4 linked regions of the Arabidopsis thaliana genome follow. The protein of the gene in region 1 interacts with the protein of each later gene in a pairwise test. Each region holds a gene or a part of one and is shown in the gene's direction. Other genes may lie near its edges.

The links.
Region 2: the proteins of HMG (region 1) and AT5G28040 interact in binary tests that used the Arabidopsis thaliana proteins (3 or more experiments, as listed by UniProt).
Region 3: the proteins of HMG (region 1) and AT4G00390 interact in binary tests that used the Arabidopsis thaliana proteins (3 or more experiments, as listed by UniProt).
Region 4: the proteins of HMG (region 1) and AGL18 interact in binary tests that used the Arabidopsis thaliana proteins (3 or more experiments, as listed by UniProt).

What each region holds. Positions count from the first base shown.
Region 1 is NC_003074.8:10,780,949-10,789,229, forward strand, and holds HMG (high mobility group), read left to right. Parts: upstream 1-3,939; 5' UTR 3,940-4,005; coding exon 4,006-4,059; intron 4,060-4,345; coding exon 4,346-4,531; intron 4,532-4,607; coding exon 4,608-4,713; intron 4,714-4,803; coding exon 4,804-4,940; intron 4,941-5,018; coding exon 5,019-5,102; intron 5,103-5,183; coding exon 5,184-5,278; intron 5,279-5,365; coding exon 5,366-5,474; intron 5,475-5,609; coding exon 5,610-5,696; intron 5,697-5,794; coding exon 5,795-5,887; intron 5,888-5,966; coding exon 5,967-6,164; intron 6,165-6,251; coding exon 6,252-6,397; intron 6,398-6,487; coding exon 6,488-6,635; intron 6,636-6,715; coding exon 6,716-6,823; intron 6,824-6,904; coding exon 6,905-7,087; intron 7,088-7,245; coding exon 7,246-7,324; intron 7,325-7,422; coding exon 7,423-7,550; 3' UTR 7,551-7,781; downstream 7,782-8,281. Other genes in the region: AT3G28720 (uncharacterized protein), read left to right, coding at 1,181-3,391; CYP81D11 (Cytochrome P450 superfamily protein), read right to left, coding at 7,816-8,281. UniProt on the Arabidopsis thaliana protein: Component of the FACT complex, a general chromatin factor that acts to reorganize nucleosomes. The FACT complex is involved in multiple processes that require DNA as a template such as mRNA elongation, DNA replication and DNA repair.
Region 2 is NC_003076.8:10,033,309-10,042,260, reverse strand, and holds AT5G28040 (DNA-binding storekeeper protein-related transcriptional regulator), read left to right. Parts: upstream 1-3,259; 5' UTR 3,260-3,323; coding exon 3,324-4,607; 3' UTR 4,608-4,677; exon of another isoform or gene 4,678-5,224; intron 5,225-6,144; 3' UTR 6,145-6,718; downstream 6,719-8,952.
Region 3 is NC_003075.7:169,018-175,740, reverse strand, and holds AT4G00390 (DNA-binding storekeeper protein-related transcriptional regulator), read left to right. Parts: upstream 1-2,895; 5' UTR 2,896-2,996; coding exon 2,997-4,091; 3' UTR 4,092-4,254; downstream 4,255-6,723. Other genes in the region: GPAT8 (glycerol-3-phosphate acyltransferase 8), read left to right, coding at 205-679, 1,026-1,429; FDM2 (XH/XS domain-containing protein), read right to left, coding at 5,293-5,523, 5,722-5,934, 6,037-6,324, 6,410-6,499, 6,614-6,723.
Region 4 is NC_003074.8:21,229,625-21,237,811, forward strand, and holds AGL18 (AGAMOUS-like 18), read left to right. Parts: upstream 1-3,847; 5' UTR 3,848-4,285; coding exon 4,286-4,467; exon of another isoform or gene 4,468-4,987; coding exon 4,988-5,096; intron 5,097-5,189; coding exon 5,190-5,245; intron 5,246-5,333; coding exon 5,334-5,433; intron 5,434-5,517; coding exon 5,518-5,559; intron 5,560-5,659; coding exon 5,660-5,701; intron 5,702-5,783; coding exon 5,784-5,932; coding exon of another isoform or gene 5,933-5,936; exon of another isoform or gene 5,937-6,020; coding exon 6,021-6,111; 3' UTR 6,112-6,354; downstream 6,355-8,187. Other genes in the region: AT3G57380 (Glycosyltransferase family 61 protein), read left to right, coding at 378-576, 661-738, 811-2,048. UniProt on the Arabidopsis thaliana protein: Probable transcription factor involved in the negative regulation of flowering, probably through the photoperiodic pathway. Prevents premature flowering. Downstream regulator of a subset of the MIKC* MADS-controlled genes required during pollen maturation.

The sequences.
Region 1 (8,281 bases):
ATTGAGTTTAATAATCTTTTATTTTTTCTTTAGTAAAAACTTAATAATAAATAAAACTCTTTGACATACATTGTTTTTAGAAACGGATTTTAAATTTTAAATTTTATATTCTTTTATAACATTTTCTAAATAGATATATATAAAAAAAATTACTACATCATGCATTTAATCTTACTTTCATTGGAAAAATCATTTTTGCAATGTTATAAAAATTGTGATGTCAAACAAAAAGCCCGACTTAATCGGGACGAAAAACCCAACTTCATTGGAACGACTAAAAACGACAACAGAACAACCATGTTAATGGCAAAAACATGACAACAAAAAAACTATGTTGACGGCAAGAATATAACAACGGAAAAGACATGTTAACCGCAAATAAAGATAAGAGCCCCTCTCTCTCAAAAATATTAGAGAAAGAGAGCTTTCCTACTATTTCTTAGAGTCCGAATCGTTACAACGGTTCGAGCAGACAAAACCGTGTATGGACTGGACCCGCTTTTTATTTACCATTCATAAACTATAGTTCCTAATAGTATAGATAAAAAAAACAGAAAAAGACGTTGTGGACCAATTGCACACCGTTTTTTATATTGAAATCAGTGTTCAAGAAAACGTCAGACGCTATTCGGGAGGTGATCCAATGTCTACCGCCTAAAACACCTAATCGGAGTCTAGACAATTTTAGGCGGTTAAGATGTTTATAACATAAAACATTATAAATATGTTATTATAGATAAACATCATTCAAAATATGGATTAAAAAAATATAAATATTAAATTTATAAACAAAAATGTGATAAAACGTACATATAATTCATACTAAACAATATTTGAACATTTAAAACCATGTATATGAAGACAAAACTTAAAAAAAGTAAATTTGAATAATTAAATATTGGAAACATATATTGGAAGCATAATTAATCTTAAGCGGTCGAAACGGTCATCTAGGCGTCGCATGAGAGCCTAGCCCCTAGTCGAGGCCTAAACAACCACCAAAATCGCTTTTTAGAATACTGATTGAGATAAATTAAATCTGTATTGATTTATTGTCTACCCCTAAAATAAAGTAGACTGAATCGCGGATTGATTAGTATTAACCGCAACATCCATTCAAAACCTCGGTCGATAATTCATAACTTCAACCGCGTTCACGTTATCATTACCCAAATTTTAAATGATAGTTTTTTGTTGGAGTGAAACCCCTAAATTTAACCCCAATGTGAAAAATCCACTTAAATCTAACCCCAATTTGACATTTTTAGCCCTCGAAAGCCCAAACAAATCTTCGTCTTCGTCTTCCTCCTCTAACCTCCACTCTCACATGACGCACCACCGCATCACCACCTACTTCAATGGCGGATCCGCCTCCATCTTCCTCCTCCTCCTACTCATCACCACCACTTCCTCTTCTTCTCCACCAATCCCAGGCCTAGACACCTTCCTAACAAACCAATATCGTCTCGACCCAAAATCATCAAACGACTCATTCACATCACTCTCCTCCTCTCTCAAACGATCTCTCTCTTCTTCATCAATCCACTTCTCATCACTCTCCAAATCTCTCCTCTCTCTCTCAATCTCAATCCCACTCAACGTCCGTTTCATCGGAGACTCTTTCCCTTCCTCCGCCGCCTCCACTCTCTCCGAATTCATCTCCGCCGCCGTAACTAACGACAACTTCCATGTAATCTCTCCATCTCCAGATTCATCAACAAATCACAAACTCGTTATCTCTCACTCTCTCCACCTTGACGCTTCTCTATCTCCCCAATCTCTCTCCACCAGACTCGATTCAACTTTGAAAACCCTAATTTCATCAACAACTTCATCTCTCAGATCTAATCTCCTTTCGATCCAGTACAATCCAATCGATGAGATTATAAAGCAAGAGTATGAGAAAGAGAAGCATGGAGATGGTGGTGTTTACATTTACTTGATCTCTTTAGGCTCACAAGCTAAACCTTATGCTTATAGTTACTCTCATGGTGATTCATCAGCTGGGTTTACGAAATGTTTAGGTAGTATTTGGACTGGTAAAGATCGTTATCTATGGATTGATCTCTCTGCTGGTCCTGTAGATTATGGTCCTGCTTTATCTGGTGATGGTGTTTTACCAAGAGGTGAGTTTCATCCTTTAGCTGCTTTACATGGTCGTCCTAAATCAGAAAAAGCTTTACTTGCGGATTTGGCTTCGTTGGTGTATAATGCTTATCAGGTTTTGATTGTTCCTTCTTTGAGAATCCCTGTGTACTTTGAGGATACGTTGGTGGTTCAGTTTATTCATGTGTATGGGTCAGAGGTTAAGGATTCGAGTGGGTTAGATTTGGAGTTTGTGAAGAGAACGTTTATGGATGAAGCTGAGAGTGGTGGGTTGTTGTTAGGTGAACAGAAGTTGAGTTTTAAGAGTTATAGTGTGAATTATAGAGAATGTTCGATTTGTTCGTTTGCGGTATCTCGTGGGATGAATTCGTATACTTCTAGGTTTTTGTTTGATAACTATACTTTGATTGTGAGTGAGTATTTGGATTCTAAGCATATGCATCGGGCGTTGACTGATTCGGCTGAGGAGTTGAGGAGAGTTGCGGGGATTGTTGAAGAAGAAGGAAATGAGTTTGCTAGGGTTTTACCTGTTTATGTGTTTGATTTGGATATCAATACGCCTTTGTTGCTTGATCGGTATCATCAGTCTGTTGCTTTTAGAGATATGGTGATTGCTGTTAGAACTAGAGGAACTCAAACGGTTAGTGATTATACTTGCAACGGGCGTCATGTGTTTGTTCATACGAGAGACTTAGAACGACCTCTCGTTGGTTCCATTCTGCAGAGTATGTGGGGTGTATCTTCTACTCATTTGACATGGAGCCCGAGACATAACACAACTCTAGTTGATTATACATGGAGCATTGGGCAAACACCGTTTGGACCATTCTCTGATATCTCGTCTCTATCGTTTGTTCAGAAAGATGCTGCTAAGAGAAACGTGATTTTGACATCTTTGAACACAACTATCACAAGTGCAATCGATGTTATCGATTCCGCGGTTGCATATGGAGGAGATGTGATCCTACGGAAACAGAATCGCCACTCTGAGTTCATGCAAAGGTGGAATCTTATGCAGTACAAGCTGGATAAAACGGTTTCTGCTCTATCACACAATGAGTTCGAGATGGCTTTGTTCTACTTAAGATCAGCTTCACACGACTTGTACTCAGTGCATTCAGTAGTGTACCTCGCGTCACAACGGGTAGAAGCGAGTCTCAACTGTTTCAAAGATCCACCGTTCCCATGGGGAACTGTTTCAGTGTCGGGATTCGGGTTAATGGCTGTTGGTTACGTGTTCTCGAAAAGAGATAGACTCTTTAGGAACAAACGAAAACAGTTCTGAAGAATTCTAGCAATGCAGGGTAATTTATAGTCATTACATTGGATAAAAAGACTTTGATAGTTTGGTTTTTGAGGTTAATACAACATGTACTACTATTATGAGCTTGTTTCCATTTGGTAATGTTGAACAATAGAGACAATGCTCGGATCCTCTGTTTGGTTGTCTATTTATTTTGAATAGCTCCATCACATTCCTATTGTCTCCTTCAATAATCACTTCTCCATACCCTTAGACCGGTTTTCCCCTCCTAACCAAAGCCAAACAAAACCGAAGTAACCGGTTTGGTAAACCGAACCCGCATGCCTACATAATTGATATAAAATTCTGTTTTATAAGAGGTTTCTTTTCCAAATGTGAAAAAATCCAAAACTCAAAACAACCTTCTGTTTTTACCGTTTTTTGATAAAGGTCTTTTTCCCAAATCTGCAAAACCAAAAACTCAAAAATTCAATTAAACCGGAAAATCTAATTTTCGAAAATTGGTTTTCTTCCCAAAATTAAACCGCCTGAGTGTCTATGTATAAAAGTTGATATCATAGTTTGGAAAAAAAAAAATCACTCTCTCTCTTTCGCTCTCGCTTTCTCGTCTCTCTCGTGTCTCTCAACAGAAAACCATGGCGGACGGCCACTCCTTCAATAATATCTCTCTCAGCGGTCGCGGTGGAAAGGTACCATCTTCTCTCTCTGTCTCCTTCTATCTCTCAAGATCTTTCAATTCCTTCAAAGTTTTCACCTTTTCCTCTTCCTTCGAAAACCCTAATCTCCTTTCTCTGTATCCCCTTTTGCTTCCGCCGCTCGATTCTTAAAGAACTCAATGAGTCAAATTTAGGGTTAAAAAAAAGATTGTCGCTTTCATTTTTCAGTTGTGTTGTTTTCTTGTTTACAATTGTTAAAGCTGCGGTAGTTTTTAGGGTTTTCTTAAGGCTAATTAGGGTTTCAATTTTGGTTTTTTAGAACCCGGGTTTACTTAAAATCAATTCTGGAGGAATTCAATGGAAGAAACAAGGTGGTGGAAAAGCTGTGGAAGTTGATAGATCTGATATTGTAAGTGTTAGTTGGACGAAAGTGACAAAGAGTAATCAATTGGGAGTCAAAACCAAAGATGGATTGTACTACAAGTTCGTTGGATTTCGAGATCAGGTTTGTGTGTGTATATCTTTTTTATTTGATTTGATATTGTAATGTTTGTGCTTGTTCTGATTCCTTTGTTTTGTAGGATGTTCCAAGTCTGTCTAGCTTTTTCCAAAGTTCTTATGGAAAAACACCGGATGAGAAGCAATTATCAGTTAGTGGTCGTAATTGGGGAGAGGTGGATTTACACGGTGAGAGTTCTTATAGCTTTTAGGCTTTACTTGTGGTTGTCTAGTTTCATTTGTGGATCTAAAGGGAGAATTTTTTGTTTCTTTGTGTAGGGAATACACTAACCTTTTTGGTTGGATCAAAACAAGCTTTTGAAGTATCTTTAGCTGATGTTTCACAGACTCAGCTTCAAGGGAAAAATGATGTTACTTTGGAGTTTCATGTTGATGATACTGCTGGTGCTAATGAGGTACTGGTTTCTTTTGATATGTAATCTCTAGGCTGTTATGTATGTACATTTACTGATTTATATTCTACGTGTTTACAGAAAGACTCGCTGATGGAGATTAGTTTTCATATTCCTAATTCCAACACTCAGTTTGTTGGTGATGAAAACCGTCCACCTTCTCAAGTGAGTTCCCAAACTATTTTCATTATATGTATGTGCCTCAAGTATATATTTTTTTCTGTTGATGCTAAAAGAATGTCTCAGGTTTTCAATGACACAATCGTTGCAATGGCTGATGTTAGTCCTGGAGTTGAGGATGCGGTCGTCACATTTGAGAGTATTGCAATCCTCACACCCAGGTAAAGAGTTGATTACTTAAACATTTGTTGCACTATTGTATGGCTTCATCTTGTCATGACTAAATGATTTGGTTGTTTCTATCACAGGGGTCGGTACAATGTGGAACTTCACCTTTCTTTCTTACGATTGCAAGGACAAGCTAATGACTTTAAAATCCAGTACAGTAGCGTTGTCCGTTTGTTCTTGCTTCCAAAGGTAATTCTTTTTTAAGCATATCTCAGGGCAGTTACCTATGTTAGCAGTCATCAGATTAAAGGGATTATCGTATTATGATCACTGAATCGTGTTCACATTAATTGAGTTCGTATTTTTTTTTATATGCCTGAGCAGTCAAACCAACCACACACGTTTGTTGTTATCTCTCTAGACCCACCAATCCGGAAAGGTCAGACAATGTACCCCCACATTGTTATGCAGGTAAACATTACTTACATTTTTCCTTCCATTTCAATTTTCTATGTATAATTTTCGTTTTTTTACTCTGATTTACATAACTGTTTTTGCATCTTCTCCAGTTTGAAACAGACACCGTTGTCGAAAGTGAACTGTCAATTAGTGATGAACTTATGAATACAAAGTTCAAGGACAAGCTGGAGCGATCATATAAGGTTTCTGTCTGGTCTGCACTTACATTATTGTTCCTGAATAAAAAAATTTATACATACGCTGAATTGTATGAATTTTCAGGGTCTCATTCATGAAGTATTCACCACCGTGTTGCGTTGGCTGTCTGGTGCAAAGATCACTAAACCTGGGAAGTTCCGCAGTTCCCAAGATGGGTTTGCAGTGAAATCGTCTCTCAAGGCAGAAGATGGGGTTCTTTATCCACTCGAGAAGGGATTTTTCTTCTTACCTAAACCTCCAACGCTTATACTTCACGATGAGGTAAATTATGGTTATTAAGGATTGGAGATTTTTTATAGGCTTTGAGATAGAGTTGGGTTTTCTAACCTGTTTTTTTTTCGTTTTTAGATTGACTATGTCGAGTTTGAAAGGCATGCTGCTGGTGGTGCTAACATGCATTACTTTGATCTTCTCATAAGACTGAAAACTGACCATGAACATCTGTTCCGTAACATTCAAAGAAATGAGTATCACAATCTCTATACCTTCATAAGGTTAGCGCGGATTATTTCATTGTCTCCGTCTATATTTACTGAGTGCATTTAAGATTTGTGGTGAATATTCCTTATGTTTTCTTGCTGCAGCTCTAAGGGTTTGAAGATTATGAACCTTGGAGGTGCGGGTACCGCAGACGGTGTTGCTGCTGTTCTTGGGGATAATGATGATGATGATGCTGTTGACCCTCATCTTACGCGTATCAGAAACCAAGCTGCTGATGAGAGTGATGAGGAGGCAAGTACTTTATGTCTGACCGAATTACTTCATATTCTAATGATCATGTGTTTGATAATCGAGACTTTTAATTTATGAAGGACGAAGACTTTGTTATGGGTGAGGATGATGATGGTGGTTCACCAACTGATGATTCTGGCGGGGACGACTCTGATGCTAGTGAAGGCGGTGTAGGAGAGATAAAAGAGGTAAACTTTTGTCGCATTCATTCGAACTCTTTCAGCAGCAGTATTTGTTTCTCATATCTTCCTGTCATTGACTTGTTATAGAAATCTATCAAGAAGGAACCTAAGAAAGAGGCTTCGTCATCGAAAGGATTGCCTCCTAAGAGGAAAACTGTAGCCGCAGACGAAGGCAGTAGTAAGAGGAAGAAGCCGAAGAAGAAGAAGGATCCCAACGCACCAAAAAGAGCAATGTCTGGTTTCATGTTCTTTTCCCAAATGGAAAGAGATGTGAGTTCTTCTCTCCTTTCTTTTACTTTTACCTCTATGATGTAGGCTAAGTTGCGAAATGGAGTATCCTCGGTCTATTACATACATGAGAGCAAACAATTAACAGACAAACTTAGCACATTCCTGATTATGTCATTTTCCATTTGTGAACTGAACAGAACATAAAGAAGGAACACCCAGGAATAGCATTTGGAGAGGTGGGAAAGGTGCTTGGAGATAAGTGGCGTCAAATGTCTGGTAAAAAATTTGAAGATCCTTTTCAAAAGTAAATACATTACTTGGTTTTACTTTATCATGTGAATGTGTTTTAATTCCCCAACCGTGTGTATGTATAGCTGATGATAAAGAGCCATATGAAGCCAAGGCTCAAGTCGACAAGCAGCGATACAAGGATGAGATCAGTGATTACAAGAACCCTCAGCCGATGAATGTGGACTCAGGAAACGATTCCGATAGTAACTAAACTTTGATTCTCCAACATTCTCTACTAGTATCTCATTTACCTACAATACTAAGTTATGGCATGTAGTAAACGTTGGACCTTTAGTTGTTTGGAGTTAACCAGATTTTTCTCTTTGACCTTAAAGATCTTGTGTTACTTCCTAGAAAAGAAGAGCCTGTCTTTACCTCAAAATATAGAGTACTCTGGTAAGGCCATAGCTAAGAAGCAACAAAACAGATCGTGTTTCTATCGAAATTGTTATACAAGAGGTTCTGTATGATGAAAGTTATGGACAAGAAGCATCTAAAACCTTATGGACAATGGGACGAGCTTTACACATAGCTTGCAACGATGTAGCTTTTCGCATTGTGGTTCCTTTTTCACTTTCTCTCATGTCTAGATACTTTTCTTCAACCCTCTCCCACTCAAAACATTGGACCAATGATCCAAGAGCCAAAGTCACTAGCCGTTGAGCTAGCCCTGAACCAGGGCAAGATCGTCGTCCAATCCCAAATGGCATCAACTTTTTATCCTCTCCTTTTTTCTCAAACCTCTCCGGCTTAAATTTTTCTGGCTCTTCCCATAACTTTGGATCTCTATGGATGGCCCATGCATTCACCAAGATGATTGTGCCGCGTGGAACGTCATAGCCATCAACTATACAATCTTCTGATGCTAAGTGGGGTAAAAGCATTGGAGCCACCGGATAAAGCCGTAAAGTCTCTGACACAATGTGCTGAAGGTAAGGAAGT
Region 2 (8,952 bases), on another chromosome or scaffold:
TAACAAACTAAAAATATTCCAATCTCATATGTCACGCACACAGTATTCAGCAACTATTTAAAACAAAAAATGTTTGACAAACAAAAATATAATTGCAATCCCTTAAAATGAGCAAAACACACCTAAATACATTCTTTATCTATCCAATAAATCTTTTTTCTCCAAAATTTGAACTAGATTTTGGCAACTATTTAAAACAAATATTTGTTTGACAAACCAAAATACAATTGCAATCCCGTAAAATATTTATTTTAATTATATATTTAAATTAGCGGTGTACCGCGGTTTTTTTTATGGGATGGATTTGGCGAGACGGGTTTGGCAGGACGTTACTTAATAACAATTGTAAACTATAAAATAAAAATAAATAGATTTAATTTGCAAACTTTTATATATACTAATTTAAAAAATAAATTGTCTCCGCGGTATACCGCGGGTTAAAATCTAGTATAAAATAAAGAGCAAGACAATTAAATCAATGGTTAAACTATTTTTTCTAACAAAATCATTGACAAAATCTTAGAACAACAAAAAAAAAAAGAAAAAAGAAAAATCTAATTCAATTTTTAATTTACAATTTAATCAAAGACATTAAAGAACAAATTTTTAAGGAACATCATTTTTACTAATATTAACCAATTAATAATTATCAAGAAATCAGAAATTTAAAAGGTAATTGAAAATAAGAAAATCAAATCCGCATCAATTTGTTAAATACAGCAAGATAAATGATAAGATCCATTTGTTAAAATCACCATTTTTTAGAACCATTAAAAGAAGCCATCAGATTCCAAAAGAGAAAAAAACAACTACTTGCCTAGTGAGCTAACATTTTACAATGTTATGGCCTCAACGTAACTATTGTGCAGCATCTGATCAACAAAATTTACATGCTTGAACTTCAACTTAAGGTTTTTGGGCGTATAATGTAACCCTTTTATCTCAACAAAGTGAGATATAAATTAGAAATCCATAACCATCTTAATGTAATCTTCTACTCTTCGTTATTCCAATATTTCCAAAGGACTAAAAGACTGGAACAACAAAGCCACATGCGTTCGATTAAGACAGCGAAATAAATCTTTGTTAAAGTTGGTAAGATTTTCATAGTCTTCTACTCTATGAACAATAAGATCAACTACTTTGAATCTTGATGCATTGATCTAGTTAGCAAAATTAAAAAACAAATATGAATTCATTTCTAAAACACTCCAAATAAAAGCAATAACTATACATTAATATAACTCTACAACTTCATTTGCAACACCAAGTTTGTAAGGTAGAGAACAAAGTCTCTCCAGAATAGTCCTTTCATTAACCAAAATGATTTCGCGCTAAGGAGGTTATCTATGGCTCCTTTTGGAGTAAAGTGGTCCTTGTTAACTCCATTGAATAGGTACTAGATTCATAAGGATTCATTATTAACAATATATCCCAAAGTTCTTCCTACTCATGTGAATTGGTTAGAGAGCCCAATAGTCCAACAATTATCGATTTGTTGGTGCAAAACCTCATCGAGAAGACGTAGAGCTGAGATAATTACCTATTATGAAGCACCAAATTTGTTTAGTAGTCATCACCAAAACTATAATTCTAAATCTAAACCTAGAGAAATAGAAAATTTAGCGACATAAGGAGAAATTTACTAACTTGCATAGTCAAGAATGAGAAGCCATTAACACCAAACATATATATATATATATATATAAAGCATGTGTAACATAATAAAAAACCCTGAAACAAAATCAAGAGAGCGATAAAAAGAAAAGCATACTTTTGGTTCTTTTCCACCACTTCAAAGCTATAGAGATTCAAAATCGAGTTTAAAGCATAGCTATAGAAATTCATAGATTGAGAGTCAGATTTACCACAACACCAAGCCAAATTTCAATGCATAATGAGGAAGTTGGTTAAAGCGTACTTCAAAGCAATAAGGATTTAGAGAGCCGAGTTTCTTGAAAAAGCAGTATATATAAGATTTGTAACCAGCGATTTTGATCAAGTAAAGAGTTTCTTGATTTTGGTCAAGTAATGGTTCTAACATAACATATGTATAAGATCTCTAACCCGCGAGAAAAACAAATAGATCTTATGTAATTTGACTTGTTTATTCTTAATGAGGTGAATTAATTTGGACTTTGAAATTATACTTCTAATGGCATTGGTTAGTAATACTTTAGAAAAGGCAATGTGAATTTTCTAAAGGTACTTTCCTTATATTAGTATAAAGATATTTTTTTCATGAACTAAATGCATGGAGTAATAACATTTAACTATGAAATTTATTTATTTTGAATAATTATGTAGAATGTTATATATGATTTTAATTATTAATTATATTTAAATTATGTTACATTTTATTATTATAATAAAAAATATTTGGTGTAATTATACTTTCTATAATTATTAATTATATTTATTTGGTTTAATTTCGTTCAAACCGGCTGGTTAATCATTCATAAAATTTCTGTAAATGCACCAATTTTCAAAAGCTAACCATATCATTGAAAAATATTTCATAATGTTTAAAATCACAACCGTCCGTTTTACAAACTCTCGCAAGTCATACAATATCCACTGCGTTTAAACCAGTCATACCTAAAAATAGCCATTGGGTGTTACAACAAATGAAGTGAGCGGTTAAAAATTAAAACAAGCCGATTGTAAGCCACATGAAAAATCTGTGAGTTTACCAATTGTTTTGATACTGTATTAGTTTTTTCAATATAACTTTATTTGTATTGTTCTATTAAGAGATTATTAATAGTAAAAGTAATTTTATATGTTATCTAATCTCTTATATTCCTTCCTTATAACAATTTTTTTCAATTTAAAGTAACCACCTTTTTTCATTGTTATGTCATCGCATTTTCTCTAATCGCTTTTTCTATAATCTCTAAAAACATTCTTAACCGTCATAAACAACAGTCACCAATCACAACACCCGTTAATATGGGACGTTGAAGAAACGCAACAGTACACAGAATAACAAAATCAAGTTTGTCGAACGCTTTTCTGTTTCGCCGCGGTTGCGGTAGACCATTGACTTTAAACACATGATCACGCTTCAACTAAAACCGCAACAACCCAAACAAAGCACGGGTAAAAGAAACAAACACTGGACCACTTGCCTGCAACCGCAACACCCTTAGTCATAATTACAACTCTTAAAATCCCGAAACTACCCCTACTCATCTCCAATATTCTCCATACCCTACCACCACCCAAAAAACAAACCCGTATCAATCCTCGTGAACCCAATTCCTTCTTTCTGGATCTGATTCGATCTACCAGAAAAATTTCTCTCTCGCTACGTTTTTCTCATGGCATCGGATCAACGTGACACTGATTTCTCCGCTGAATCACCAGATCTAGAAGAAGACGGCGGCGGTGGCGGTGGCGGAAGAGGAGGAGGAGAAACTGAATCCGACGAAGATGTTGTTATACCCGAACCAAACGAAGCCGAAGACGACGATCACGATCCCGATCCCGATCCAGAATACGAAGATCTGAATTCTCCGTCAATGATTTCCAGAGCTCCGGCGACGAAATCATCCTCAGGAACCGTAACCGTCGCTCTTCCCGCTGGATCCGCCGTACCTGTAGCTTCAATTCCATCAGATTCCGATCAGAAATGGCACCGTATGACTGAAATCGTTCATCAGAGACCACCGATTGATGATTCACGACGTTTATTCCAGAGACTATGGACTGACGAAGACGAGATCGAGCTTCTCCGTGGCTTTCTCGATTACATCACAAACCACCGTGGTAACAGCTCTCATCCGCCTGATACGGCGCCGTTTTATGAACAGATTAAATCTAAGCTACAGTTAGAGTTTAATAAGAATCAGCTTGTGGAGAAGCTAAGGAGGTTGAAGAAGAAGTATAGGAATGTTATGAGTAAGTTTAGTTCTGGTAAAGAAGTGTTCTTTAAAAGTCCTCATGATCAAGCTACTTTTGATATCTCTAGGAAGATTTGGAATCAAACTGGGAAAATTATTGGTTTTGAAGATAATAATGTGATGGATTTAGAAGAAACTAATCATGTAAATAACGCGAATGGTAGCTCGGGTTTTAATGTCTCTGTTATCGGTAATGCGAATGTCGATGTTGATTCGGAGAATGGTTTAGAGAAGAAAGTGACGATAAGTAGAAAACGATCACGGTCTAGGATCGGGAAGATCGACGAGGATAAGCCTGTTCTTGCTCCGTGTGACGGGGTGATACCGAATGCGGTTAATCTTAACGAGAATGTGGCTGTTGGTTGTGATTTTGGTGATGGGAGGAATCTTGGAGTGTTGATTGAAGAGACGGTTAAGAATTGTGTATCGCCCATGATTAAGGAGATGATGAATAGTACGACGGGTATGATGATGGCTGCAACGGGTGGGTTTCCTGGAGGTGGTGCTCATGCTCTCGGTGTGTTGAGTCCGATGCTAATGCCGTCGATGAATTTAGGGTTTGGTGGTAAGGGAGTAGGGGACGAACGGTGGAGGAGACAACAGATTCTTGAGCTGGAAGTGTATTCGAGGAGATTAGAATTGGTTCAAGAACAGATTAGAGCCACGGTGAATGAGTTAAAGACAATGCCTAATGGAGGATGATGCATAAGGAAAGACTACAATGGGTTCTTTAAGTTATGAGAAAATGATGAAGAAAGATTATGATGGTGAGGTATAGTATTAGCAAAAGTAATAATCTTAATGAAAATTTCTGATGGTGATGAAATCTTTTTTAGGGTTTTAGTATTTTTTTTTCTTGATTGAATCTTTTTTTAATTTTGTCGATTAGGAGTGAATAACCTTTGTTCTTAGCTGATAAATTATAGTTTTTGGTAGAGTTCAAAAAAAAAAAAAAACTCTTTTGTGCTATTTATAATGTTTTTTTGTGTGATGCATATAATATGATATTATACATCTAATGATTAATGAACATTAACATGTATTCTTTTGGAGTTTGATCTATGTATTCCGAAGACGTGTCAAGTGTAGAATCTTTGGTGTTATGTCTTCTCTTCGTTACCTGTTGAAGTTATTATTATAACTCTTTGATATATCTACATATACATTTTTGGGGACGATTTGTGTCGAAAAATCCTTTTTCAATTTCGATATTGTATGGTTAGTCCCTACAAAATCAATCAGACAAAATATTTTCTTTAGGACAATAACCAAATTTTTGATAAACAATTAAGATATTGCACTAACTACTTGCCTAAACATGGATATTGTTAACTACTACCCTCATAAATTGCACAAATCAATCCCTAAAACTATACGAAATTCATTATGCTAATTTCCTAATTAACAAAACCCGGAAATCAATCATAACTAACCATATCTACAATTATTTGATTCGAAAATAATTTTAGTTTTAAATGCTAATGATATCTTACCAAAATTTATTCTTCTTTTATCAATTGCAACACAAAATCTAATTTCTGTTACCTCAAATAAACACACAATATACTAGAGAAATCTGTATTTCCGTTCTTAATTGGCTTTACGCCTAAAAATATTTAAACAATATTTAGTTTTTGATTTGAAAATATATAAATCGTATATGTAGTTATAACAAACAACTATTTTCAAATCAAATGGTTTCCTATTTGAATTCTAGAAAAAACTGTAATAATATTTTAATGTCATATCTAAAAACATAAATGTGATCGATTTCTTTCCTACAAAAATGGTAATCTTTAGCATCTTCCATAACTAATTTATATTTTTTCAAATTTTGAGTTCAATTTTTCGTTAATTTTCGTCAATCATTGTTAATATATCTTTTGGCAAAATTTCCCTACAAAAAAGGTAACCACATTAACACTTGGGTATTGTTTTTTGTTTAGATTTGTAAACTAATAACAAGCATATATTCTCAAGATATTTGAATATCAGAATATTACCTAAATTAAAATATCTAGAACATTCTAACGTCTAAATGATCCACTATAAATAACCATCTCATATCGAACAATTACCACAACCACAATTTGCCTCAGTCTAAATGATCCCTCCGAATTCTCATATAGCAAGGTATTTCTTATGCATAGCTCTAGAAATGTTTTGCTATACAGAATATTTATCAGTGCTTGTGTGACGAATTTAATAGATTGAGTTTGTGATTTTGTTGTTTGTATAGCTTTATGAGCAAGCTATTGAGTATGAGAAAGGTTCGTTAATCACTTCTAATGGAGCTTTGACGATGCTTTCTGGTGCTAAGACTGATCGAGAGATAAGCGTGTTGTTAGAGATGCGATTACTGAAGATGAGCTTGAGCTTTGGTGAGGAAAGTGAGTATTCTTAATTCTTATCTCCATTTTGATTGACAGAGTTTTTATCCTCTATTTTGGTTTATTGATTTTGGCTTTTGATTTTCATTTTAATTTTAAGGGTTTGTCTAAAATTGAAATCGATGAACATACTTTTATTGTGGTGAACAGAGAAAGAGCTGTTGATTACTTGAATTCTTTGGAAAAGGTTTACCTTATGCCTAAGCGTTAGATTCTCTCCCATCATTCTAGATGCAATATGGGAAAAGATGGAGATGTTGCCCTCTTCTTTGAACTTTTAGGTATTGCAACTTTTTAAGCCGACGTGAACGCTGAAAAAGGAGAAACGCCGAGGTGAATGCTGAGAGAAGATTCCGCTTGCGCAACCATCGGCGGAGAGAAAGAGAAACAAAACCTTTCTTCTTCTTTTTTTTTTTTTTTTTTCTATTTTTGCTTAGGAAATTTTTTTTAACGTTTCTCTAATTAGTGGTTTTGGGGTTTAGATGTAAAGAATCTTTTCTATTTAGATGTTTTGGCACAAAAAAAAGGAAGAAAAAAACTATAATTTTGTAATTTATTTTATTTTAGTTTATGATTAAGGGAAATTGAAAAAAAAGATCCTCTATATCCAAATCTCTCAAAGAACTTTCTTATTTTTAGATTCTCCCAAAGAACTTTTTTTTAATTTTAGTTTATAATTTTATTTAGTTTTCAAATTTCATTTTATTTTACACCACGGGTTAAATCCTATACCATATTTTTTGTTTGGACGATCTTTAAGTTATCTTACAATTTAGTTAAACTTACTTAGTTTTGAACTTTATGATAGTAACTTAATAACATTCATCTTATTCATATAAATATTTAGCTATATAGTAAATGCCGAATAATACTATAAGAGCTACATCTTATTAAATATCATATACTTTATAGTTTACAAAATCATAAATTTATAAATTATAAAATAAATGGAAAAGAATCAACCCGCAGTGTACCTCTTAATAAGTTGGTATTTATAATATTTAGAATCTATAAATTTTTTATAATATTAATAATATTTGAACTCTAGAATTTTTTTTTTTATATTGTAAAAACCATTTGAAATTAAATTACTTTTTTAATTTAATATCATCTATATTAGTTAAGAACGCACGTAATAACTCATCATAAAAAAAACATGTATATAAGTATTAGTTAAGAAAACTATTTTAAGCCAAATACGTTCATTTTTAACAAAAAAATACTATATAACAAACACATAATAACGTACCATAAAAATACACTCTCTATATAATGTGCGTATAATAAACAGTTTTTCTTAATTAAACAAGATCAAACCAAACAAATACAAATATAATATCAAAAATAAATAGATATAAAAAGTAAAATGATAAATTCAAAATATAATATGATTATTTAAATATAGATGATATAGAATTAAAAAAATAATATAATTTATAACGTAAATAATCAACCCGCGGTATCTAGTGATTAAGTAGAAGATTAAAGATATTTGGTCATGAAACCATTTGCACCTTGCACATACATAAATATGTACTCAACATGCATAAATATGGCTATGTACTTTAAATGACCGTATATGTTTGTGCAATAATGATACGATTTGGGCAACTAGAACAACGATTACGTTTGCGTTTAGCAGCATAACCTAAAGCATGAGAATGGGTACGCGCATCTAGTGTTAAGCTTTTCAAAGGATAGTGTTTAATGTTATCTTCAAAATGTTTGAAAACGCCTTTGGATATTTTTCTTGTCTTTACTTACTTCTTAAAACCCCAAAATAAAAAGCATGGATCGGAACATAAAGGCGGTTGGATGAAAGATTGTTAAAATCCGGCTAACACCTTTGTGAATTTGTCTCCATTCAAGCATAGCCTTAGAATTTAAGCTCTACTTTTAAGCATCGCCTTTTAGATTTTGTTTCTATACAAGCCTATCCGTGGATGTTATTTTCACAAACTAGAAAGGGCACAAACTTGTCTTTAATACTTCACAATTCCATAGCAGCCTAGCCTTAGATGTTATTTTCATATCAAAGCAATGGCACAAAACTTTCTTCATACTACACACAATTATATACATCGTGTGTGTGTCCACCACATGTCAATCGATCTTCCACCGACCTTCATTTTCTCTTTCACACTCCACTTTGCAGAAATATCATTTTTCAACACTCTAGAGTCTAGATCAACTACTTCATGGTGGTCCAGTAACTCCAGTTTGATTGGTTCATCAGAGTTGAAAGAGGGAGTATTATTTTTTCCAATGTGGACTACCCTCTTCTTTTTTTTTATAAAGTTTATGAAAATTAGTCTGGACATTGATATAAGATCGTTTGATTATATAATACCAAATAATTGGAGTTAATGTTATGAAATATGAATAGTAGTACTCAAAACATTTTAGAAATTTTATTTTATTTTACATATGACTTTTCAAATTTTATATAGTATTATTTTATTAAAAACATTTAGTGCTATCAATAAAAATATATATAATAAATTAATAATTCTTCTTCGGTAAATTGACAACTCAATAATAGAGATGTTTATTTGTACTTGAAGGATGTTAACTAATCATTTATGGGGAAAATACACTAATGGTGAAAGCTTAAACGAAACTCTACTAAATACTTATTTTTTATTTTTCTACGTTCG
Region 3 (6,723 bases), on another chromosome or scaffold:
TTCTATCCCCAACCACCTTACTAGTTCCACCAACATTTTGGGCTGTCCATTTAATGAACACATACTTGAAATATCATAAACAATCTTCTGTTGTTTAATGCTTAGTTTTTTGAATCTTGATTACACAATTTAGAGATATGTTACATTTTCCTAGTACTTTTAGTTATAAGTTTGAAATGAATAACGTTTTTGGTATTATAACAGAAAGGTTACATGGTTCATGCGACCAAGTCAGCCACAACGATTCCAAAAGAACGCTTAAAGAACCGCATAGTCTTCCATGATGGGCGTTTAGCGCAACGTCCAACTCCGTTAAACGCCATTATCACATACCTATGGCTTCCTTTTGGTTTCATCCTCTCCATCATTCGCGTCTACTTCAACCTCCCTTTACCTGAAAGATTTGTCCGTTACACTTACGAGATGCTCGGGATCCACTTAACCATTCGTGGTCATCGTCCTCCACCTCCTTCCCCTGGAACTCTTGGCAACCTCTATGTCCTTAACCACCGTACCGCGCTTGATCCCATCATCGTTGCTATTGCTCTTGGACGTAAGATCTGTTGCGTCACTTACAGTGTCTCTCGTCTCTCCCTTATGCTTTCTCCTATTCCTGCTGTTGCCCTCACCCGTGACCGTGCCACCGATGCTGCCAACATGAGAAAACTTCTCGAGAAAGGTACTTTACACATCTTCTCATCATATATTACTAGAGCATACCTATAACAAGTTTCACTGTCCAGGGGGTTCAATAGGAGTTTCTATTTCTTTCTTTTTATTTTTCGATGAATACATATATAGTAGCCCATGCAAATCTCAATATAGTAAATATTACTTTGGTATGGTCTTTGATGTTTACTTTGGTACCTAATTAACGCATCTTCTAACCAAATTTATATAAATGAACATAAAATAATATTGTTTACTTCTTTTGAATATTGACTTACATTCACATTAATCTTTAGTTGAGAAATTAAAAATCAATGGAGTTGTTGAGCTAATGATATGTTTTTGGTGTATAACAGGCGACTTGGTGATATGTCCGGAAGGCACGACGTGTAGAGAAGAGTATCTACTGAGATTTAGCGCTCTATTCGCAGAGCTAAGCGACCGGATTGTGCCAGTAGCGATGAACTGTAAACAAGGAATGTTCAACGGGACCACAGTTAGGGGTGTGAAGTTTTGGGACCCTTACTTCTTCTTCATGAACCCAAGACCAAGCTATGAAGCCACTTTCTTGGATCGTTTGCCTGAAGAAATGACTGTCAACGGTGGTGGCAAGACTCCTATAGAGGTGGCTAATTACGTCCAGAAAGTTATCGGCGCGGTTTTGGGCTTCGAATGCACCGAACTTACTCGCAAGGATAAATATCTTTTGCTTGGAGGTAATGACGGCAAGGTGGAGTCTATCAACAACACCAAGAAGTGAATATCTTATTCTTGTTATAACTTGGCATTGACTTATTGCAAGTAAGGTTGGATCATATACGAATTTTCATGTGTGTAATTGCTTGAGCTCTTGTCATCATTATGGTACGTTATTGTTATGTTTATTCTATTTTGTTCTTAATGTCGAACGGGTAACTATATCCTTAAAAACTATTTTGTGATCCCGTTTCTATACGGATGTGTATAGAGACTTTCTATTTAAAGTGCAAAATTTTATTGGAGGAAGTAAATTTTGGATCATGCAAATGTAAATACATACGACGTATATATGTTTGAATAAAACTATGTTTCGGTGGAATTGTGAATGATTAATTATGGTTTTTTTTTGTTGCAAAAGTAGCAATTTTTTGAAAAAAATAATTAAATTTTTAACAAACTAAATAAGATCATTGTTAACTATACGCTTTTATAAAAAATCTCTTGACAAAAAAACAAAAAAACTTTTTATTACACTGTCATAATTTCTTTTATTTTTAGAGAAATTAGATTCGTTTTACCGAATTGAAAAATGGTGATATCAATATGAGAGTGTAGCAGACGAGAGATCATGAATTTTGAGTTCCAACGTAGAAATGTCTACATTATCATCATGAGAGTGTTGGCGGACAAGAGATCATGAATTTTGAGTTCCAATGTAAAAATGTCTACATTATCATCATTTAAGTAACAGACGAAAACTTGGGATTTGATGTATTATATTATTGGTGCCAATTCATTAAAAAGAAACTCATATTCCTGTATTTTTTGGGATGATTTTATAAACATTGGCAGTAAGAAATGAATATATTTCTGTATATAGATATTTCTGTATATATACAATTAACAGAAAAATGAAATGAAAGCAAAAAAATCATTACAGTGCGAAAATATGTGAAGCAAAAATGTGAAATTATACTTATTATGATTTGTCATTAATGTCATGATCTAAACCTAAATTATTCTTTCATTACAATTTCTATATTAGTTTTTAGTGGGCTTTAATTATACATAATATTAAACTCCTTCACCAAATATTTGTTAATGAGAATGAGATCCATGAGAATGAGATCTTATTATGATTTGTATGAGAATGAGATCCATGGGAACATTAGGCAAATCAAAGATTTGTATATAATAAGCAAAAATGTGAAATTGTACTTATTATGATTAGTCATTAATGTCATGACCTAAACCTAAATTACTCTTTCATTACAATTTCTAACATTAGACAAATCAAAAATTTTTATATAATAAGATTATAAAACTTAACAAATAATATTCTTTGAGATTTAGAATCTTAATTTAATGACAATATTAATTGTTTAACTCATAGAACAATGGAATTTTAACGGGAACTGCTACATTGGAAATATGAAACGATTTGAATAAGGAAAGCAAATTTCGCAATTATTGTTTGAGAATATCGAAATTGATTATAAATATTCCTTTTCACTTATCATCGTTTCGTCACAAACCCTAAGAAGCTTCTCATCTTCCTCACAAACCCTAAGAAGCTTCTCATCTTCTCTTTCTCTCGAAAATTCCGATTTGCTCTTTTGAAACTTCCGATGACGAAGAAACTCGATCCACCAACGGCACCTTCAAGCGACGAAGATGACGTCGAGACTTCCGAAGATGATTCCTCTTCATCTGAAGAAGACGAACCAATCAAATCCCTTCCCGCCACAACCGCCGCTGCTCCTGCTAAATCCACCGCCGTCTCCGCCGCTACTCCAGCTAAATCCACCTCCGTCTCCGCCGCTGCTCCTTCTAAATCCACCGCCGTCTCCGCCGCTGCTGATTCCGATTCTGGTTCGGAGAGTGAAACAGATTCGGATTCTGAATCGACGGATCCTCCGAAATCTGGATCCGGTAAAACAATCGCTTCAAAGAAGAAAGATGATCCGTCGTCGTCGACTGCTACTTTAGCTTTACCGGCGGTGAAATCTGGAGCAAAGAGGGCAGCGAGTGAAGCTGCGACGACTTCAACGAAACGAGTCAAGAAAGATGAAGAGAGTGTAAAGAAGCCAGCACTTTTTCAAAGACTATGGAGTGACGATGACGAAATCTCTATGTTACAAGGAATGATAGATTATCATGCTGATACAGGGAAGTCTCCTTCCGCAGATACTAATGCGTTTTACGAGTTCCAGAAGAAATCTATCAGCTTTGAGGTTAGTAAGAGTCAATTCTCGGATAAGGTTAGGAGTTTAAGGAAGAAGTACCGTGCTAAAGAAGGAAAGGACGAACCTAGGTTTGTGAAAGCTCATGATAAGAAAGCTTTTGAATTGTCAAAGTTTATTTGGGGACCTAAAGGAATAGCTCTTGATTCTAATGCTAAGTCCAACGGTGTGTCGAAAAAGAGTGCGAGTAAGACGAAGGAGAAGCTTGATTCTGTAAAGCAAGACTTGGCGTTTGTTGGTGTTTCTTCAACTAATGGAGATGATTGGTTTGAGAAGTCGTCTCTTGCTAGGATGATTGCTGGTTCGGGTATTGATGAGTATTATGTGAGGCAGAAATGGAGTTCGTTTACTCTTGAGACTAAGAAGATTGTTGAAGAGAAGTTTCAGTTGATGCAAGCTAAAGAGCTTGAGGCTATGTTGGATAAGAGTGTGCGTTTGACTGACCTTACGTCTTACTTCGTTGATGCTTCGAAGAACTAGAGCTACTAGTTACTTAGATTTGTCGGTTTTTTGTATCGTAATGCTATGCATAATGCTTTCTTTTGTTTTTCGGATTTAGGATTTGATTCTTTCTGGTTTGTTTTTTTGGGGTTGAAAGATTCTCTACGTTATAATATTTATTTTTTTATTCGTCAACTTGTCCTTATTATACCTCATCTTTGTCTTTTAGAAGTTCTTGTACCAACTCCAAGAACGAATCTATGTTCCTGACAAAACCGCCTTGTACCATTGTTAGGTAAAGCTTCCCAACCATAAGCATCTGCACTTTGTAACTTGATTGTGTTCTGTGAGAGTTGGAGTTTGAAAATGATGAGTAAACTGTTACATTGAGAAAACAACTCTTACCAAATGAAGATTTTCTCTTCATAAGTTATTTCCAAAATCAGACATTTAGCAAGTTATACCTACTTTGCATCCAAGTCTGTTGGTCACAAAACAAGACCATAGCAATGCAAATATAGCTTGGTTACAAAAAATTTAGTCACATTGCTTCAGGATGATTTAACTATATAAACAACACAGTTTTTGTGTCTGGTATAGAAGATAACACTGTTTTGTTCAAAGCTTTTGACTTATGAACTACAAAAACTAAAGCTTTGTTACTACTATTAAGATACTGCCTAACTCGTCCAAAATAAGCCAAGAAGAAACCTTAATAAAAAGATTATTGACTATGTTACATGCCAAAATAATCTTAACACAAACTTGTTTGATCATCATTTTAGGTGGCTTTTAACAAGAACTTAAAACAAAAAGCATAAACCAAGATTACAATAATTACAGATTCGAATTCTTTCAAATCAAAAGGTTTAAGAAATTAGTCTCCATAGAGAGCATACGAGCATCCTAATAATTTTATTAGACAAAAAGCTTAACCATTTAATATTCTTCTTCTTCTTCCTGCTTCTCCAATCCTGCAACCAAAAGTAGAAGACCATTGGATTCTTCAGTTCAAATCAAAATGGCGCAAGACCAAAGCCAGACCAGATCATAATTGACAAGTTCTTTAACTGAAGTCAACAAAAGAGATCATGCCTCTGCAGTATTTTCTTGACGAGTTTCTACCCTAAACCTTTTACACGTTTCTCGGATTATGTAGTGTACGTAGTTTTGGACCAGCACATTACTATATAAGCTATATAAGGAGACCTGTGTCAACTGAAGAAGATTTAGCATACCTTCAGGTTCTTTTGCGTTTCAGATTTTTTATGTCGGTTGAAATGAACGTAATCACTTCCTTGAGAGTGGCTTTTCTTCCTTCTTTGAAGTTCCACAGTTCTGAAGTCGGGTACCGACCACTTGCATTATACTCATTCATCTCCACAAGAGCTGCTTTTACTGCGTTATGCACCTCTTTTCCCCACTCTCTTTTAAGCTTCTTCAGCTGCTCATCATCCTCGTCTACCACTTCCTGTAACCATTAACATCTAACACCATTACCGCTAACTCACAAAAACAAAAACAGTTGTACCAACATATGTATACAAGTATCAACGTTCACAGAAATCACAGGTTACTCCATATTTAACTAAAACAGTGGCCCAGAGAGGGAGAAAGACCAGATACTTTTCAAAGTCATATAAAAGACTTGTAAAAGGAATGAACCTACCTCTGCTCCGTCCCCGGTTCCTTCACGCTTGAATGGTTGCCATGATGGATTCTTAAGGTTCTCCTTCCATGTAGAGCAAAGGGTGGCAGCTTCAACCCTAGCTTCATTTGCAGAATATCTCAGCTTGCAAACATCCAGGAAAGGTTTCTCATCAAGTTCTCCCATCCTTTTTACTCCGATATCGCTCTCGGCACCCAACAATCCTGTCAAACCCTGGATCAAAGAGCAATCTTTTGAGTATTCTAAAATACTAGATAATGGCAAAAATGCAACTCTATCAGTACCCAAGAACACTAAAGCATTAGAAATCTGTACCGCAATCATTTTTTGCCGCGCTGCTTGTATCTCATCATTGCTTTGGCGTTCTTTTGTCATCAGGACTGAGTTCATACTTTCTAGATCTTCTAACTCAGCTTTCTTGTCATCCAGCTCATCATTCATCTCTTTCATTTTCGTCTGGACCGCCTCATCATCATCATCCCCCAGATGCTTCATCACTTGTAATTTGCCTTTTAGCTCTTGAATCTCCATTTCCAGTGTCTGTTTGGTGTCTAGCTGCTTCTCAAGCAGAAGGATCTTGTTCAAAGCATCTTCTTTTTGCCTCTGGCAAAGAGAGAGTTTCAAACTCAGACACAAAACAGGTAGGTAAAGTTGGTCAGTTTAAGTAGTGTGCTATGAAGGAATATACCTGATGTTCTTCTACAAGTCTCAAGACGCTTTCGTCAGCCTTTTTCTGCTCACGTGAGGCTAACTGTAGGGATTTGTTCATAGCATCACTCTGTCAAAGCAAAAAAAACAACATAAAAATGATCATTGGTTCCTTGGAAAAGAGAAATGCATACATATGAACAGACTGATTGTTTCCTATGTATCATACTGAAGACGATATTACCTTTCTCTTGTCTTCATCAAGCTTTTGCCTCTCCAGTTCAGTTAGTGCTTCATGTTTTTCCAATTGTTTGGCCCGAGACTCCAAGTCCCGCATCTTACGATCCAGTTCAT
Region 4 (8,187 bases), about 10 Mb from region 1:
CGGAGGAAAAAAAAAAAAAAAAAGAGTAACGCAGTTCCTTGCTCTTCTTTGACACGTCTCTGGTTGTTTCCATCAGCTGACGAAAGAAACGAAACTCAATGAAGAAGGCTAAACAAAAACAAAAAAAAATATAGTATTTTAAAGAAAGTCATCGAAAACAACCTTCATTCAATTTGAAAACATCCTCTCTCTCAAAAGTCTCTCCTGCTCTGTTTCTCTCTTGATGTAAGAGAAAGCACCATACCCCAGGTTTTATATTTAGAAACAAAAACCTCTTTCTTTCTTCTGCGATAGTCAGAAGAACATCAAAAGTCGATTAGAAGCATCTAAAAAATCAAAACTTTGCTTGTGGGGTTTCTTCTTTTGTTCGATAGAAAATGGTTCAATACAAAAGACTAATTAAAAAAGGAGAAAAGCATAGACTTTCGGTAGAAGAAGGTGGTTCCGGTGCCTCCGCCGTCACTGTCTCCGGCGGTGTGTACTCAAAGACAGCCAAACAGAAGCTTCTCTTAACTATCTTTCTCTCTTTGCTCTCATGCTGTTACATCTTCAGCTTCTCCTCTTTCTCTCTTCTAGGTAATATCACCTTACTCATAATCTCTTTCATTAATTTTTTTCTAGATTTTTCTCATAACTTCGATTGTTAATTTTCTTGTACAGGTGCTTTTAGCAGAGAAAGTAAAGGATTTGGTCCTTATGAACTGTTCATTGCACCTCTTTGTTCAGGAACCTCTAATGGTATTTTATCTTTTCAAATCTCTTCTTTTTAAATTTGAACAAGCTCTGTTTAATGATGTATCTCAATCACAGGAACAATTTGTTGTGACAGAACCGGTTCTAGATCCGACGTTTGTATCATGAAAGGAGACGTTAGGACACACTCTGCTTCGTCATCAGTCTTCCTCTTCACTTCCCTCAAAAACAAGACCAAGATCACGAAAAAGATCAAACCTTACACAAGAAAATGGGAAACAAGTGTGATGCAAACAGTTCAAGAACTCAATCTCGTTTACAGAGATGAAGAAAACAATTCTTTAGTCGTCTCCTCTGTTAATGACATCTGCGATGTGTTCTATAACGTTCCTGCTGTGTTTTTCTCAACTGGTGGATATACAGGAAATGTTTACCACGAATTCAACGATGGAATCATCCCTTTGTTCATCACTTCACATCATTTCAACAAGAAGGTTGTGTTTGTGATTGTTGAGTATCATAGTTGGTGGATTATGAAATATGGAGATATCGTTTCTCAGCTATCAGATTATCCTCCTGTCGACTTTAACGGCGACAAGAGAACACATTGTTTCAAGGAAGCTATTGTGGGATTGAAGATTCACGACGAGTTAACCGTTGAATCATCGTTGATGCTTGGGAATAAAACAATTCTTGATTTCAGAAATGTGCTGGATCAGGCTTATTGGCCACGTATCCATGGATTGATTCAAGAGGAAGAACTCAAGGCAGCTAACAAGACAGAAGACGGTTTCAAGAAACCAATATTGGTGATTCTGTCTAGAAATGGATCGAGGGAGATACTAAATGAGAGTCTTTTGGTTGAATTAGCTGAGGAAATTGGATTCATCGTCCATGTTTTGAGACCGGATAAAACAACAGAGCTGGCAAAAATCTACAGATGTTTGAATTCTAGTGATGTGATGATTGGTGTTCACGGAGCTGCAATGACACATTTACTTTTCTTGAAACCGAAAACAGTCTTTATACAGATTATACCAATAGGAACCGAATGGGCTGCTGAGACTTACTATGGTAAACCAGCTAAGAAGATGAGATTGAAGTACATTGGTTACAAGATTAAACCGAAAGAGAGCTCTTTGTACGATGAATATGGCATCGATGATCCCATTATCCGAGATCCTAAGAGTTTTACTCAAAAAGGATGGGATTACACTAAGAAGATTTATCTTGAGCGCCAAAACGTGAAGCTTGATTTGAAAAGATTTAGGAAACCGTTGTCTCGTGCTTATGATTTCTCGATGAAGCGAATTGGACTGGTGTATATCAGTCACAAACCGGATGTTACCAATTAAACCGGGGTTTGAGATTGTATAATATAATTTTGGAGATGTAAACATTTTGTACAGAGAATGCATAGACTTTCTTTTGTGTCGTACCTAATGACACAAATTTACAAGCTTTTGTTCTGTATAGAAATCACTAACCGGAGAATACCAACTAAACTGAGTTTTTTTCACACTTTTTCCACTGAGTTCATACCACATTCAACTGGGTCTAAGGGCCCAAATATTATTTGCTTTATAGGCCCAAAGTCCCAAACATGCTAATCTTTCATGATACCTCCTCCATACGTCTTTTTTACAATTTTGTGTGTTTTACAAAAAAAAATTTTGCTTAGTAATCTATTTGTTAAGATTTTTTCCGTTTCTATTTGATAAGAATATATTCGATATATTTTCAATTTATACTGTATAGAGTAGCTTGTTATAATTATCATCAAATTTCATTGTTTTTTTCATAAACAAATATGATTAAAATTGATCTAGAAGTCTGCACGAAGAAAAGTAAAATGGAAACAAATTGCAGATTTGCATGTAATTACGACAAGTGGCTCATTCTCTTTTTTAGCATGTTACAGAAGTGTCTGGTTAATGGGAAAAAAAAATATTGAACTTTCTTTTATTTTGTATATAAACCAACCTTATGTGAGTAATATCCCAAAGAGGTTTCTTTTAAAATATCTTTGGGTTTTTAATTCATTTATGGGAATTTCTATAACAAAATTTCACCACAAATAAATGTTGTTCCTTTCGTAGAAGAAAACAAAATCTTAAGAAATCACGTTATTTTCGTATTTGATGGTAGTTTATAAATTTCGAAAGATGATTCAACGCGATTCATACGAGATATTATTTTTTTGACAACAACAAAAGATAGTAAAGTGTTAAAAAAAAATGTGTAAAGTTTTATGGAGTATAATTTAAAGATTTATCTTGAATTGAGAATGTGTAAATCACATTGGTTAAAGTGGAACTAAATATTTTTTTAGTAAATTATTTGTTTTTCTCTAGCTTAGTTTTAATTTCAATTTTGGAAAAGGGAGAATATTGACCAAAAACAAAAAGAGCACGATTAAATGACCTAACACTACATTTAGAAACACGCATCTGAATTATTTACATTGCAAAACAAAAGTGTTGAGCTGTATAGCATGTATTTATATTTACTTAAATACTTTCCATATCTATAAAAAGATATTTGCTCACCAAAATTTCACAACCGAACTAATTTTATTTATTATTACTAATGTTTAGATAATTCCACAAATACAGTGTAATTCTCAAAATATAATTTCGGTTACAATAGAAAGTCTTCTCTAGAAAGAGATATTTTTCTTTTACTAAAAATACAACAAACTCAGTTTGGAGGGGAAAGTAATCTTCCTTGTGAGATTTTACTATCTATAGAAACGTTAAAGCCACACCTTTTGCTTTTCTTATCATATTCTTCTTCAAATACGGCCACGTTTGGCCATTCTACTAGATCTCAACCCAAAAAAAAGAAACAAAATCTCAACCAACAAGAAAACAAAGCTAAAGAGAAAAAAAAGAACACAGTAGTTGTTATTTCATAAATCTTTTAAAGATATGAAAATATCAGTTATTAAATAAAACAGTATCCAAAACAACTAAAAATAAAGACTATAATAAAATGAAATAGTTGATCAAATATTTCCTTATTATAGGGATCAACTTTATTTGACTATATAAAAAGTAACATTTCTGTAAAGCAATAAAACAATAAAATTATGGAAGATTAAGTTTTAGAAACGTAATAAAAAGCATGATGACCTAAAAGCAAAGCCAAAAAAGAAAAACCCTAGAAGATAAAAAAAAAGGGAGGCGATACACGAAATAGAGAAGAGATCCAAAACCAAAACAAGGGCGTTATAAATGGGAAGAAAGTTCCAAAAGAAGAAAACAGCCACTCACACCAAGCAAAGCAAATTAGCAAAGCCACCAAATATGGAAAATTGCTACTTATAGTAACTCCCATCTTTTTATATAATACCCTAATTTTGGTCCTAATTTTCCTTCCTTAGCCCCTTTCCCAATATTTGATCAATTTCTAAAGAAAACCCCTTCCTCTACTAGTCCTCCTCCTATATATACAAAATCTTAAGAAATCTCTCTACTTGTTTCCTCTGTTATCATAATCTCTTCTCTCTATATCTCTTCTCTTCTTCTTTTACCCTGTTTTTTTTTTCATTCCACAGAGCCCAGGTTGATTGATTTTGTTATTCAGAGATATGGGGAGAGGAAGGATTGAGATTAAGAAGATTGAGAATATCAACAGTCGTCAAGTCACTTTCTCTAAGAGACGAAACGGTTTGATCAAGAAGGCTAAAGAGCTTTCGATTCTCTGTGACGCCGAGGTTGCTCTTATCATCTTCTCCAGCACCGGCAAGATTTACGATTTCTCCAGCGTCTGGTATATTAGTTATCATCTCATGATTTTGCTTCTTTTTTTTTGCTTTGGGGAAATAAAAAGTTTTGCATTTTTATGGGTTTTTGTGTCTAAAGTAAATGAAAACAGAGCAACCCCTGTTTATCTATATCCTAATCTGGCTAAATCTTTAGGTTGATGATGAAATAATTTTGATGGGTTATGATTTTAAGGTTTGGAGAATTGAGATTACGATTTTTGCTATCGGATTAGTTTGTGTGTTTTATAAACCCTAACTGTTGATGAAACTACAATTTGGTCACTATCTTTGGTATCAGAATTTGGGAGATGCATTTGTCTATGTATATATCAGTTGTTAGAATCTCAACTCCAGAATTCTGAAAGATCGTTAATTTCTAAGATTATTAGACCATAGAAGTGTTTATCTTATCTTTATGAAGAAATTTGAGAATGCAGAAGTTTAGATTCATGATTTTTTCCTGTAATGATCAATCAAACCAATTACGGGGTTTTACTAACGGAGAGTTTTGTTCAATTTGTGAAGTATGGAGCAAATTCTTTCTAGATATGGATACACTACTGCGTCCACTGAGCATAAACAACAAAGAGAACACCAACTTCTAATTTGTGCTTCACATGGAAATGAAGCTGTGGTAAGCAGAGACTCTCTACCAAGAATTTATTTTTGTATCCCTTTGTCTGTGTTCAAGTTTTTGGTTTACCTTACATGGTATTCGTTGTTGTAGTTGCGAAATGATGATTCTATGAAGGGGGAACTTGAAAGATTACAGCTTGCAATTGAGTATGTATCTCACTGGAAAAAGAACTTGCGTTTGTTCTTGGTTAAAGTTTCGGCCTTTCATCGGTTTTTTCTACTTGTTCGTGAACAGGAGACTTAAGGGTAAGGAGCTTGAAGGTATGAGTTTCCCGGATCTTATTTCTCTTGAAAACCAGTTGAACGAGAGCTTGCATAGTGTCAAGGATCAAAAGGTGAAGACAAAATACTAATTTATTCAAACATCGAGAGATGATTTTTGATTCATCCCTGTCTTGAAAAGTTTTGTTTTGATTCAGACACAAATCCTGCTCAACCAGATTGAGAGATCCAGGATACAGGTACGAACAGAGCTCCTCAAATGTCAGAATCATTGTTATTATCAATTCGTATACAATGTTGAATCTCAACACTCTTGTTTTGTTTCCTTGTCATTAATAGGAGAAAAAAGCATTGGAAGAAAACCAAATCTTGCGCAAACAGGTAAAGATTCATCAAAACCCTTATATTAGCTCGGTCTGGTCTTCACCAGTCATAACTGAGTTCAATTCTAATTTGCCCTCAGGTTGAGATGTTGGGGAGAGGTTCAGGACCAAAAGTGTTGAATGAAAGGCCTCAAGATTCTAGCCCAGAAGCCGATCCCGAGAGCTCTTCATCAGAAGAGGATGAGAATGACAACGAGGAGCACCATTCCGACACTTCCTTGCAGTTGGGGTAAACTGCAAAACAAAGCCCTAACTTCTGTTACAAGCTTTTATTGTTACTGAGCATTCTACAAACTTGTTGGTTTGATCTTTCTTAGGTTGTCGTCGACGGGGTATTGCACAAAGAGAAAGAAGCCGAAGATCGAACTGGTCTGCGATAACTCTGGGAGTCAAGTGGCTTCTGATTGATGGAATCGATTATTTTTCTAATTCTGGTTGTTTAGGGGTCTCTATGTGTCTTCTTGTTTCTGGCTGTTCTTTTGCTTTATTTCATCTCAAGTAGAGTTTTCTTAATGTTTAGGTGGAACATTTTTCCATAATCAAGAAGGGATTTGATCAATCAATAACATTAGATTTTCTTAGTTAAAGACTTAAAGTTGCCCACACACCACACCATATGTGATTATGATGAATTTACATTTTATAAACAGGTTTTCAGTGATTTCAAGAAACATAAGCGTGCATTCATTTTTTTTTTGCTTTAACTAGAACCCAAATCTTCAATAGTTTTCATGAATCGACTTTGAAAATACATAAATCCACAACATTAATATGATTAAGCATTCTTGAAATCCTAAGTTAGGTGAACAGAGAGTTAAGAGTAAATGCTCCTAGACATGGTTTAGTCGATTGCAGATAATTCGGGTCAGCAAAGAAATGTGATCACTAAGCAAATCTGGGTTGCGTAAACTCGTTGACAATAAACGGAAGCGTCTTACCCCTTTTTTCCGGCCCACTTCTTTACTTGGGCCAAATAATTTTATTTTGGGCTTTTTTTAAAAGGATGATCTTAATTGTGTGTGGGCATTTAAGGGCACCGACAATTCAAAGGTAGCCGACGGCTTACAGAAATATGGCTGCTCAGATCATCAGAGACCCCATACAATAAATATTTATGTTTCGAGAAATAAATCACCAGATGGTTGACAAGTTGCGGCAGTAAGTACATGTTACTTTTCTTGTCAGAAAGTACAACAACAGTACTTTTTTTATAGTCGACACTAAAATTAAGACTCGTATTTAGTAATGCAGAAAAATCTTTACAAAAATATACTATATACTCCTGAGAAAAAGCAGCTGATTTGACTGAAATAAAGAAAATGTTAGTAGTCTAGTAATGATTTGTGAACTACAAACGTTGTTTAAGGCGTTTACAGTAATATTAACATTACGGAATACAAAAGGGTGATGACTAGTCGACAAATAAAAATGGTAATGAGTCTAAATGACGAAATAATTAAAGAAATGTGTGAAAGGAAGAGAATAATAAGCACAAGTCCCGGACCTGAAAACGGAAAGATCAGAAGAGCCACGTGTGCAGGAGCTTGAAGAGAAGGTTCCAAATGAGAAAGAGATCCACCACCGTCATCAACACACACACACACACTTTGTTTGTTCTCACGGAGTCCCCAACAAAAGTCAAATCACCGTTCATTGAGCCCCACTTTTATTTACTTACATGTTTAATAGACCCGTTTGTATTACGAGACACTTCTAGTCGCATGTCTCCACCGTCCGATCACGGATCCTAGCTGTAATCAAGGGGGCAGATTTAATGAAGTGGGCCTCTTAGTAACTGCCTTCTCCACGTATCCTGACAATTTATTGTTTTCTTGTTAGTATTTTGCCATTTTTGGTTTATTATAGGATGATTAATGATCTTATAACTCTTCCATAAACTAATTTAGATAGATACGCATTGCATAGTTTGTTTTTAGGTCGATGAAAGCTAATTTATACTATACCTTTGCTTTGTTTGGTTTTGTGTGTCAGCGTTACATTAACTTGTCTTTGTTTTTTCACATTGTTAACAATAAACTCCAAAATCCAACCATAGCATTTTCGAGGTTATATATACTTGTAATATTCATTAAATTTCAGAAATTACTCATAAACTATTAAGAGGATGTTGCTTATAATTCAACCCCCATTTCAGTAGTACTCAACATTCAACTGCATTCAACTGAATCTTTTGGCTTCAATTACTATTTCCATTACAATTGTCCAAATGTAAAACGATTTTTACACAAAAATCAGGAAAATGATATTCCATAATGATAAACCATGATATTGGTAACCAATAAAGACTAGTACATGTAATCGAGCTTCATAAATCAGAATACGTAATGAAACTTAACCAGTCAATGTAATTTTTTTCATACAGGAAAAGTAGACTGAGAACGGTCAAACTTTGTTTTCTAAAAAAGAAAATTAGGCACATCCTTGAACCACGTTTGACAAAATCTCTGGTTTAATTACACATTA